Linked DNA regions of Callithrix jacchus. Each later gene encodes a partner of the first gene's protein in a complex. Links are inferred from orthologs where the notes say so. Each region holds a gene or a part of one and is shown in the gene's direction. Other genes may lie near its edges.

Region 1 (4,506 bases):
CATTACCTAGCTCTTGCATGCTGTTTTCAAAAATAAGTTACACATCGAAAATTGCTTTAGACTTTATTTTAAAATTTTGTCATTGGTTTTTCAAAAAAATTTTAAATTGGTTTTAAAAATGTCTTAATTGTGTGCTGGTTGAACACAATTTTCTACAGAAGTACCAATAATTACATGTATAAACACAGAGTCCTATGTACATGAGATATAAGTAAAGTTACAATCACACTTGAAAAATTTAAGTGTTATGAAGAAATTATCCCATTTCTATTAATATGGAAACTGTGTCTTCATCTTTATTATGGTTCTAAGATCAATGAAATGTAGATTTTACTTGCTTATAGTTTCATATTTTACTAGCTTATAGTTTCATATATTTTACTATTATAATAGTAAAATATAAATAGTAAAATATTATGGGTATACCTTTTGTTGTGAAGTACTCACACTTACTTGGAACTTTTACGAATATGATACAGAGACTGAAACCACAGGAACAAATTGCGATATTGATTATACAGTTGTGGCAGCACTGCTTTCAATTTGTTGATAGCAGTTAACACTTAGAAAAACATTTTAAAAATAATTTCACACAAATGCTGCAATTTATTAGCTATCTCTGACATTTTACAGTTTGAAATAGTCTACTTTCTTCTTGGTATCCTCACCTAAATGTAAGATCTTTGAAGGCAGGAACTGTATCATTTTTTGCCATTGTATTTTGAGCACATAGCATGGTACTGGCCTCTAAATAGATACTATTGATAAAAGGTTTTCTTTTTTAAGGTCATATTTTAAAGTGTATGCTATGGTACAATTCAGTTTGTAACTTTTGCTAGTTTATTCCACTTACATCTAACAAAAGCATGTCAGCAGTTCTTGGAATGTTGTGAAAAGTGATAAAAATCTTTTCAACTTATTCCTTTATTTCTCATTTAAATTAATCTACCCTAGTAAAAAGACATGTATAAAAGTGCTACTTCTGCACCAGTTTTGAGAATAGTGTTATTTCAGTGAATGGATGTGGTGACCATATTGTAATGCATGTAGTGAACTGTTTAAGGAAAATCATCTACACTAAAAGATACAGGAAATAGTGAGGAAATGTAATTTAATTTCCATTTTCCTTTTAGAGCTGTATACAAAGATGCTGATTTGTATTTATTAGACTCTCCTTTTGGATACCTAGATGTTTTAACAGAAAAAGAAATATTTGAAAGGTATGTTTTTTGAATAACTTACTTACAATGCTCATGCTAAAATACAAGAAAGAAAGACTGTACCATCATACACTACATTTTACCTCTTAAGAAATATGTTCACCCTTGTTGGTATTAACTCAAGCCTGATCTTCCCTACCTGGCCAAGATTCAAGATCACTTCCATTAAACCCTTTTCTGTCCATTTCATGCTAAACCAATTTTTCCCATTGCTATACTGTTATAGCAATTGCCATCTGTGTAGTTTTTGCAGTATTATTGTCTTGTGACATATATTACTTTAATTGATTATTATGCTTAACATTTTCATTTACTTTTTTGTGTTAGTATTTTATTCTGTCTTCTCCTTAAGTAGTACACTTCTTAAGAAAATGCCTATGCCAAATGTTTTTGCTAGTTTTGCTACTGGTTTAATGTAGGTGAATGCTTAGACTACTCATCTACCTCAGTACTTCTTCGGGGACCTCCTTCTCAGTCACACAGAGCTCAGAACTTATATTTCCTTGGAACTACCGTTAGGGTCCAATATACATGATATTCCCTAGACAGACAGTTAGTTATATGACCTGACTTCAAAATTTTAAAATGATTCCATGGACTGTAAGGTAGTCTATTAGGAGAACAGTTATTATGCTCTTCTAGAAATAAAGACTTTAAGCTATAAATATGGATATGTGTATAAAATGGCTGGATTATGCCTAGAAGTACTTTTCTTAAAATTTAGTTAAATTTGATATCCAAGATACTATTTTTACAACCCTGTGACTGTGATAAGTAACTTCTATATTAATATAAACCTTGCTGCATTTGTATTGTTGTGTTAGTGTGTTACGGAATAATCTAGAATGATGTATCTTTCTATATGATATATAATATTTTAATGCCTAAAAAACTGATATTTCTTAGATCATTCTAGTCTGGATTTACTTCTAGAATAAATGAAAATTTTATTAGAAGAGAGTCAAATTAATTATCAAATTCTCAGTTATTGTTGCTGTTTTATTTTTAGTGAAACAGATTAGTTTTAATGTAAGCACTTGAGAAATAAATTGGTGGTCAACCTAAAATGTAAAAAAAAGAAAGAAATTAATAGAAAATTTAAAGAACAATAAGACTCTGACATTTAAAAGACATGGAAGTACAGCTCTCTAGGGACCTTGAAGATCATCTAATACTTTCCTCATTTTCTAGATAAATAAACTGAGACCCAGAGGATAAATGATTTGCTCACAGCCAAATATCTGCTTAATATAGGAAATTTTATTTCATTCTCAGTCTGTTAACATGCAACTTTTCTTTAATACAGCATGATATTTCATGCTATCAGAATTCACAAGGTACTAATTTAATTACTACAGGGTACTTATAGAATCATTTAAAATATAATAAAATTGTATAATACAGATTATATGCAATAAAACAATAAAATGCTAAAATGCAAGACATTATTGTAATAAAGTATTTATAAAATTGATATTTATATCTTTTTATATTCTTAAAGCTGTGTCTGTAAACTGATGGCTAACAAAACTAGGATTCTGGTCACTTCCAAAATGGAACATTTAAAGAAAGCTGACAAAATACTAATTTTACATGAAGGTAGCAGCTATTTTTATGGGACATTTTCAGAACTCCAAAATCTACGGCCAGACTTTAGCTCAAAACTCATGGGATATGATTCTTTTGACCAATTTAGTTCAGAAAGAAGAAATTCAATCCTCACTGAGACCTTACGCCGTTTCTCTTTAGAAGGAGATGCTCCTGTCTCCTGGACAGAAACAAAAAAACAATCTTTTAAACAGACTGGAGAGTTTGGGGAGAAAAGAAAGAATTCTATTCTCAATTCCATTAACTCTATACGAAAATTTTCCATTGTACAAAAGACTCCCTTACAAATGAATGGCATCGAAGAGGATTCTGATGAGCCTTTAGAGAGAAGGCTCTCCTTAGTTCCAGATTCTGAGCAGGGAGAAGCAATACTACCTCGCATCAGCGTGATCAACACTGGCCCCGCACTTCAGGTACGAAGGAGACAGTCTGTTCTGAACATGATGACACACTCAGTTAACCAAGGTCAGAGCATTCACCGAAAGACAACAGCATCCACACGAAAAGTGTCACTGGCCCCTCAGGCAAACCTGACTGAGCTGGATATATATTCAAGAAGGTTATCTCAAGAAACTGGCTTGGAAATAAGTGAAGAAATTAATGAAGAAGACTTAAAGGTCAGTATAAATTGCTTGCGGGTACTTCACCCCCCAGAGTGCAGTTGAGTAGAATGCAATATGTAGCATGTAACAAAATTTACTCAAATTATGAGATTAGGATAAGGTTTGTCTTAAAACTCAGAAAGTATGAAGTTTATTAATTATGCAAGCAACTTTAAAATGTAAAATAACAAATAATTTCTTTTTGCAATGGACATATCTCTTCCCATGAAATGGGAAAGGATTTAGTTTGGAGTCCTTTACAAAGCCAGTGATAATCGTGACTATAAGTTAGAAAGCACCTGCTTTATTACCATCTTGAACTCTCTGTGGAAAGAGGTGCAGTTTAAATAACTCTGTAAACAAATAGTAGCTTTCATTATTTAGAGCTCGCAAAATAATTTGTATGGAAGTAGTTTATATAAGGTATATAAACATTTAGCCTCTTAATAGGACTAACTCATATTCTGGTTTATATATCAGTCTTGCCTGAATTTAGCTAGTGTGGGCTTTTTTTATCTTGTAAGTTTGCTTTATACATTGGGTTTCTGAAAAGCTTTCTTTTAAAAAATGTATATGAAGCTCAACATATACTAGTGCCAATCTTCAGACAGAATGCTTGTTATATTAGGTTTCCAGTATAAAAGCATTTTATTTTTAAAAGAGGAAAAAAATATACTAAGGAAAGTTTTTGTTGTTTTAGTAGAAAACTTAATGCCTTGGATGAAATGAGCCATAGGCAGGGTTGTAATGAATTGTTATGTTTAATAGCATAGATCATTTGAGAATAATGTGACCTTTGACAAGACACAAGTCATTAACATCTCTAGGCTGAAGTTGCCTCCTTTGTAAAATGAGGGAATAAAATACATCCCTAAAGTATATAATTTAATGATAATTTGTCTGTATAGTTTTTTTTTTTTTTGAGATGGAGTTTTGCTCTGTCACCCAGGCTAGAGTGCAATGGCGTGAACTTGGCTCACTGTAATCTCTGCCTCCTGGGTTCAAGTGATTCTGCCTCAGCCTCCTGAGTAGCTAGGGTTACAAGTGTGCACCACCAAGCCCAGCTAATTTTTATA
Region 2 (4,506 bases), on another chromosome or scaffold:
TTTACAGACTCTGAGCTTCTTGAGGGCAGAGACCTGATTTTAAGTCTTCTCTATATCTATTATAGTCAAATACTTGGCACCTAGCGGTGTGAGTAAATGTTTGTTGAATGAATAGATGAGAGAACAGACAGTGTCTTTCAAATTACAATGTGTGGTGTAATCTAGTATTACCATTAGAAATTATAGGCTACATCATCATTTAAAGCCTCCCAGGGCGACAACCTAACCCCTGCCCTAAGAACATGCTTCAAGTCCAGGCTGATATGGTATAGTATTACTGTAGTAGTTAATGATTGAAATGCCCGACAAGCAGAAGTTTGATCATTTAATGATAATGTGCAGCAGGCAGAAGTTCAGTGCCTAATGTTCCCGTGTCTTATTTATTTCAGGAGTTGCTGGATAAATACTTAATAGCCAATGCAACTAATCCAGAGAGTAAGGTCTTCTATCTGAAAATGAAGGGTGATTACTTCCGGTACCTTGCTGAAGTTGCATGTGGTGATGATCGAAAACGTAAGTATATTTGTTATATGGGCAAAACTAAAGTACAAAAAAAGGGGACAAACAGGTCACTGTGACAATATATGTAGCCTCCAGGCTCTTTGTGATGTAAAAATAATTGAACATACATCAAGAAAATTAGTATTATCTTACATTCTCAAAAATGAAAATTGGGTCATAAATTTACATCATGTGCCCTTTAAAAGAAAGACTCATCTATGAACTTTAGTTATAATTGCACATGGTATTACTTAAAACAGGCATAATCTTTCATGCTTTAGAATTTTGGTTCACTGTGCTCTTTCCACCATCTTTCCGCGCCACCACAGTGGTCCACATAAATGTCCTGGCTGATGCTCTCGAGCATCAACGATGCCGAAAAGAGGCAAACACCAGGTGCTTATTAGGCCATGCTCCAAAGTCATCATCTGGTTTCTCATTGTGATGATGAAGCATGGTTACATTGGCAAATTTGAAATCATTGATGATCACAGAGCTGGGAAAATTGTTGTGAACCTCACAGGCAGGCTAAAGAAGTCTGGAGTGATCAGCCCTAGATTTGATGTGCAACTCAAAGGTCTAGAAAAATGGCAGAATTTACTTTATCCTGCCAGTTTGGTTTCGTTTTTAGCTCCAGAGATTTTTGCGCAAACTTTATGAGTCATTCTGCATTTCACATGGCCTTTTTGTCATTATGCCTTAAAATGCAGATAACTGAAATTACTCATAGAACATGGAATCAGGATGTTGTGCCTTTTCTGTTTGTCATATTAATTCATTATCATCTATTTTAAGGGGTCATAACATTGACTGCTAATTACATGTAATCAAATTTCTGAGGAGGAGAGGTGAGATGAATATGTTATTGCTGGTATATTATTGCTGGTATATTGCTGGTTTATTGCTTCACAGTAAATTTGAATGACCCATATGGTTAGGTTTTACTTGAGAAAGTTGAATACACAGGAATTGATGATTAATCAAGTAGTAGTCATAAAAATAGATTTCAGTATTAAATGTCTATTTTGTTTTTACCTAGACTATCATAAAAAAACATGGATATGGGAAAAAGTGATCAAATTGCCTAACTTGATAATAAAAAAGTGAAGTGAATTTATTTGCAGTGAGTGTCTCCTGGGATGCTGGTAGCAGAGTATAAGATCCTATTAAATTCTGTGCATGTGCTTGCTACCAGATTTATCAAGTTCTAGGTAGTAGAAGTATCACTTAATTCCTTATTTTTTCCAGAAAGTTTGTTATTTTGTTTTTTGCCATCCTAAATATCAGTGTAACTGAATATATAAAGACAAGTTGTACCTTGAGAAACTGTTGTACCTTGCTGTAACAAAATCTGTATACTAAACTTATTCTGTTACTGATGTATAATTTCTATTGCCATGAAGATAAGCAGAATTGGACATGATACTGGCACGGAACTGAACATTTAAGTATCAGGAAGCCAAAGAGAAGTCTTTGGGAGATTGAGACATAGCCGCAGCTTTAACCTGATTTAACTTTTAGGAGCTCATTGGCACTTTCAGGTATCACGTGTAGTCCCATGTACATTCTCATAGTCTGGGATTTGTAGATAGGCTGTCTTTATAGCCTAACTGCTGAGACACTTTACTTACTACTATTCTAGTGCTTCCTAATTTGCCAGGCTGCAAATAATAATAATTATTATTATTATGCTTGCATGCAGTCTATACCATTCAGGATTAGATCAATAAATGTGCCATTTCAGAGGAAGGAAAACGCACATATTCAGGTCATAAAGGGATAGCTTAATTCTCTTACGTCAGTATCTCTAAAGCTGTTATAGGCCAGTGCCCTCATACAGAAAACTGCCCTTTTCAAAATATGGGTATAATCAGATTAGTGTTGGTAATAACTGAAAATTTTTTGAAGGGAGAGTAACATTTTGATTAGGCCAGTAATCATACTCGGGTTGGAGCAGATTTTGTCCTGTGTATTGAAACTTTTATATTGCCTTTCAAATAATGCATCTTGATACTAAGAGTCAGTATTTCTCCAATTAGAAAAATAGAGATTTTGGTGGTGACGATCTTTGTAAACTTTATATTATTTAGGGGAAGTGTATTCCAGTCAAATTATTATTATTATTGAGATGGAGTTTTGCTTTTGTTGCTTAGGCTGGAGTACAATGGTTCGATCTCGACTCACTGTAACCTCCACCTCCCAGGTTCAAGCAATTCTGGTGCCTCTGCCTTCCAAGTGGCTGGGATTACAGGCATGCACCACCAAACCCAGCTAATTTTTGTATTACTAGTAGAGACAAGGTTTCTCCATATTGGTCAGGCTGGTCTCAAACTACTGACCTCAGGTGATCCGCCCGCTTCGGCCTCCCAAACTGCTGGGATTACAGGTGTGAGCCACTGTGCCTGGCCCAGTCAAATTATTTTTAATTGCTACATTTCCAAGTAATAGAATTAAAAGATATAAAAGAATAAAGTAGCTTGTAGCCTGAGGATGGAAAAAATCCGATTTACTATAATATCTCATGATTTTTAAAAAATTAAGCTGATTATATGTAAGCAACATTCTGAACTGGTTGTTTGTTTGTTTGAGACAAACTCTGTTACTCAGGTTGGGAGTGCAGCAGCATGATCTTGGCTCACTGCAGCTTCGACCTTGTGGGCTTAAGGGATCCTCCCACCTCAGCCTCCCAAGTAGCTGGAACTACAGGCATGCACCACCATGCCTAGCTTTTTTTTCTTCTTCTTCTTTTTAATTTTTCATAGAGAACAGGGATAAGGTCTTCCTTCCTATGTTGCCCAAGCTGGTCTTGAACTTTTGGGTTCAGTTGATCCCGCCCCAGGGTTACAGGCATGAGTCACTACACCTGGCCATAAACTAGTTCTCAAATACCCAGTACATAATTTTTTTTTTTTTTTTTAAAGACAGAGCGTTTTTCTGTCGCCCAGGCTGGAGTGCAGGGGCATATTCTTGGCCTCCCACATTCAAGTGATTCTCATGCCTGAGCCTGCTAAGTAGCTGGGATTACAGGTGCCCGCCCATCATGCCTGACTAATTTTTGTATTTTTAGTAGAGATGGGGTTTTGCCATGCTTGCCAGGCTGGTCTCGAACTCCTGATCTCAGGTGATCTGTCCACCTCAGCCTCCCACAGTGCTGGGATTATGGTCGTGAGCCATGGCACCCAGCCACAATAATGTTTTTTTGTTAGCTACCGTGATTTTAAAAGACCCATACAGAGAAAAGTCTTGGTTCTACCAAAGAGCTCATAGCGTATGTTCAGGTTGTTAATATACTTTGTACTGGATGATTATTGTCAGTATTGCACTTTTAATTTTTTTCTCTTCACAGAAACGATAGATAATTCCCAAGGGGCTTACCAAGAGGCATTTGATATAAGCAAGAAGGAAATGCAACCCACACACCCAATACGCCTGGGGCTTGCTCTTAACTTTTCTGTATTTTACTATGAGATTCTTAATAACCCAGAGCTTGCCTGCACGCTGGCTAAAACGGTAAGATGTGTGTCCAGGAAATACCCACTTTAGCTACAGTTATTTGAGATACCAGGTATGTTAATTTATTGGTATTTTACTTGGCTACCAAGGGATGATTTCTACTGTATTTATTTTGAAATCTCTTTCTTACCATCAAGATCAGTAACTTCTGCCCCTGACACCTTATTCTACACTAACTATGATTATAAGCAGTTATGTCTGTCTACAGAGCATACTGAGCAGAATAATCAAAGAAGGATAAATGATGTTAAGAAGGAAACATAAAAGATTGGAAAGTAATGCCTGCCAGGTTTGGTCACTAGAGTAGCTGTGCATTAGCTGCATTCCTCAAAGTGGCTCAAAATGAGAGCGTGAAGAGGAGCCTGTACAGATAAATACTACTTCTTATTGGAAAGAAGTATATTAATCGTTGCTGCTGTTCTGTTTGTCCTGTGAAAGAATGAAGACATGCTTGTTTACTTAAATGTATAGTTTTATAAAAGTGCAGTCATA

Evidence for each region.
Region 2: the proteins of CFTR (region 1) and YWHAQ are in contact, whole or in part, in a crystal structure (PDB 7QI1), measured with the Homo sapiens proteins. The link is inferred for Callithrix jacchus from reciprocal best matches to the Homo sapiens genes CFTR and YWHAQ. Residues at the interface, in NP_000483.3 of Homo sapiens: Arg764, Arg765, Arg766, Gln767, Ser768, Val769, Leu770, Asn771, Leu772, Met773, Thr774; in NP_006817.1 of Homo sapiens: Asn38, Arg41, Asn42, Ser45, Val46, Lys49, Arg56, Arg60, Glu113, Phe117, Lys120, Arg127, Tyr128, Glu131, His164, Pro165, Ile166, Gly169, Leu172, Asn173, Val176, Glu180, Ile217, Leu220, Asn224, Leu227, Trp228.

What each region holds. Positions count from the first base shown.
Region 1 is NC_133512.1:88,177,640-88,182,145, forward strand, and holds part of CFTR (cystic fibrosis transmembrane conductance regulator), read left to right. Parts: intron 1-1,133; coding exon 1,134-1,220; intron 1,221-2,721; coding exon 2,722-3,445; intron 3,446-4,506. UniProt on the Homo sapiens protein: Epithelial ion channel that plays an important role in the regulation of epithelial ion and water transport and fluid homeostasis. Mediates the transport of chloride ions across the cell membrane.
Region 2 is NC_133515.1:105,390,099-105,394,604, forward strand, and holds part of YWHAQ (14-3-3 protein theta), read left to right. Parts: intron 1-389; coding exon 390-513; intron 514-3,847; coding exon 3,848-4,011; intron 4,012-4,506. UniProt on the Homo sapiens protein: Adapter protein implicated in the regulation of a large spectrum of both general and specialized signaling pathways. Binds to a large number of partners, usually by recognition of a phosphoserine or phosphothreonine motif.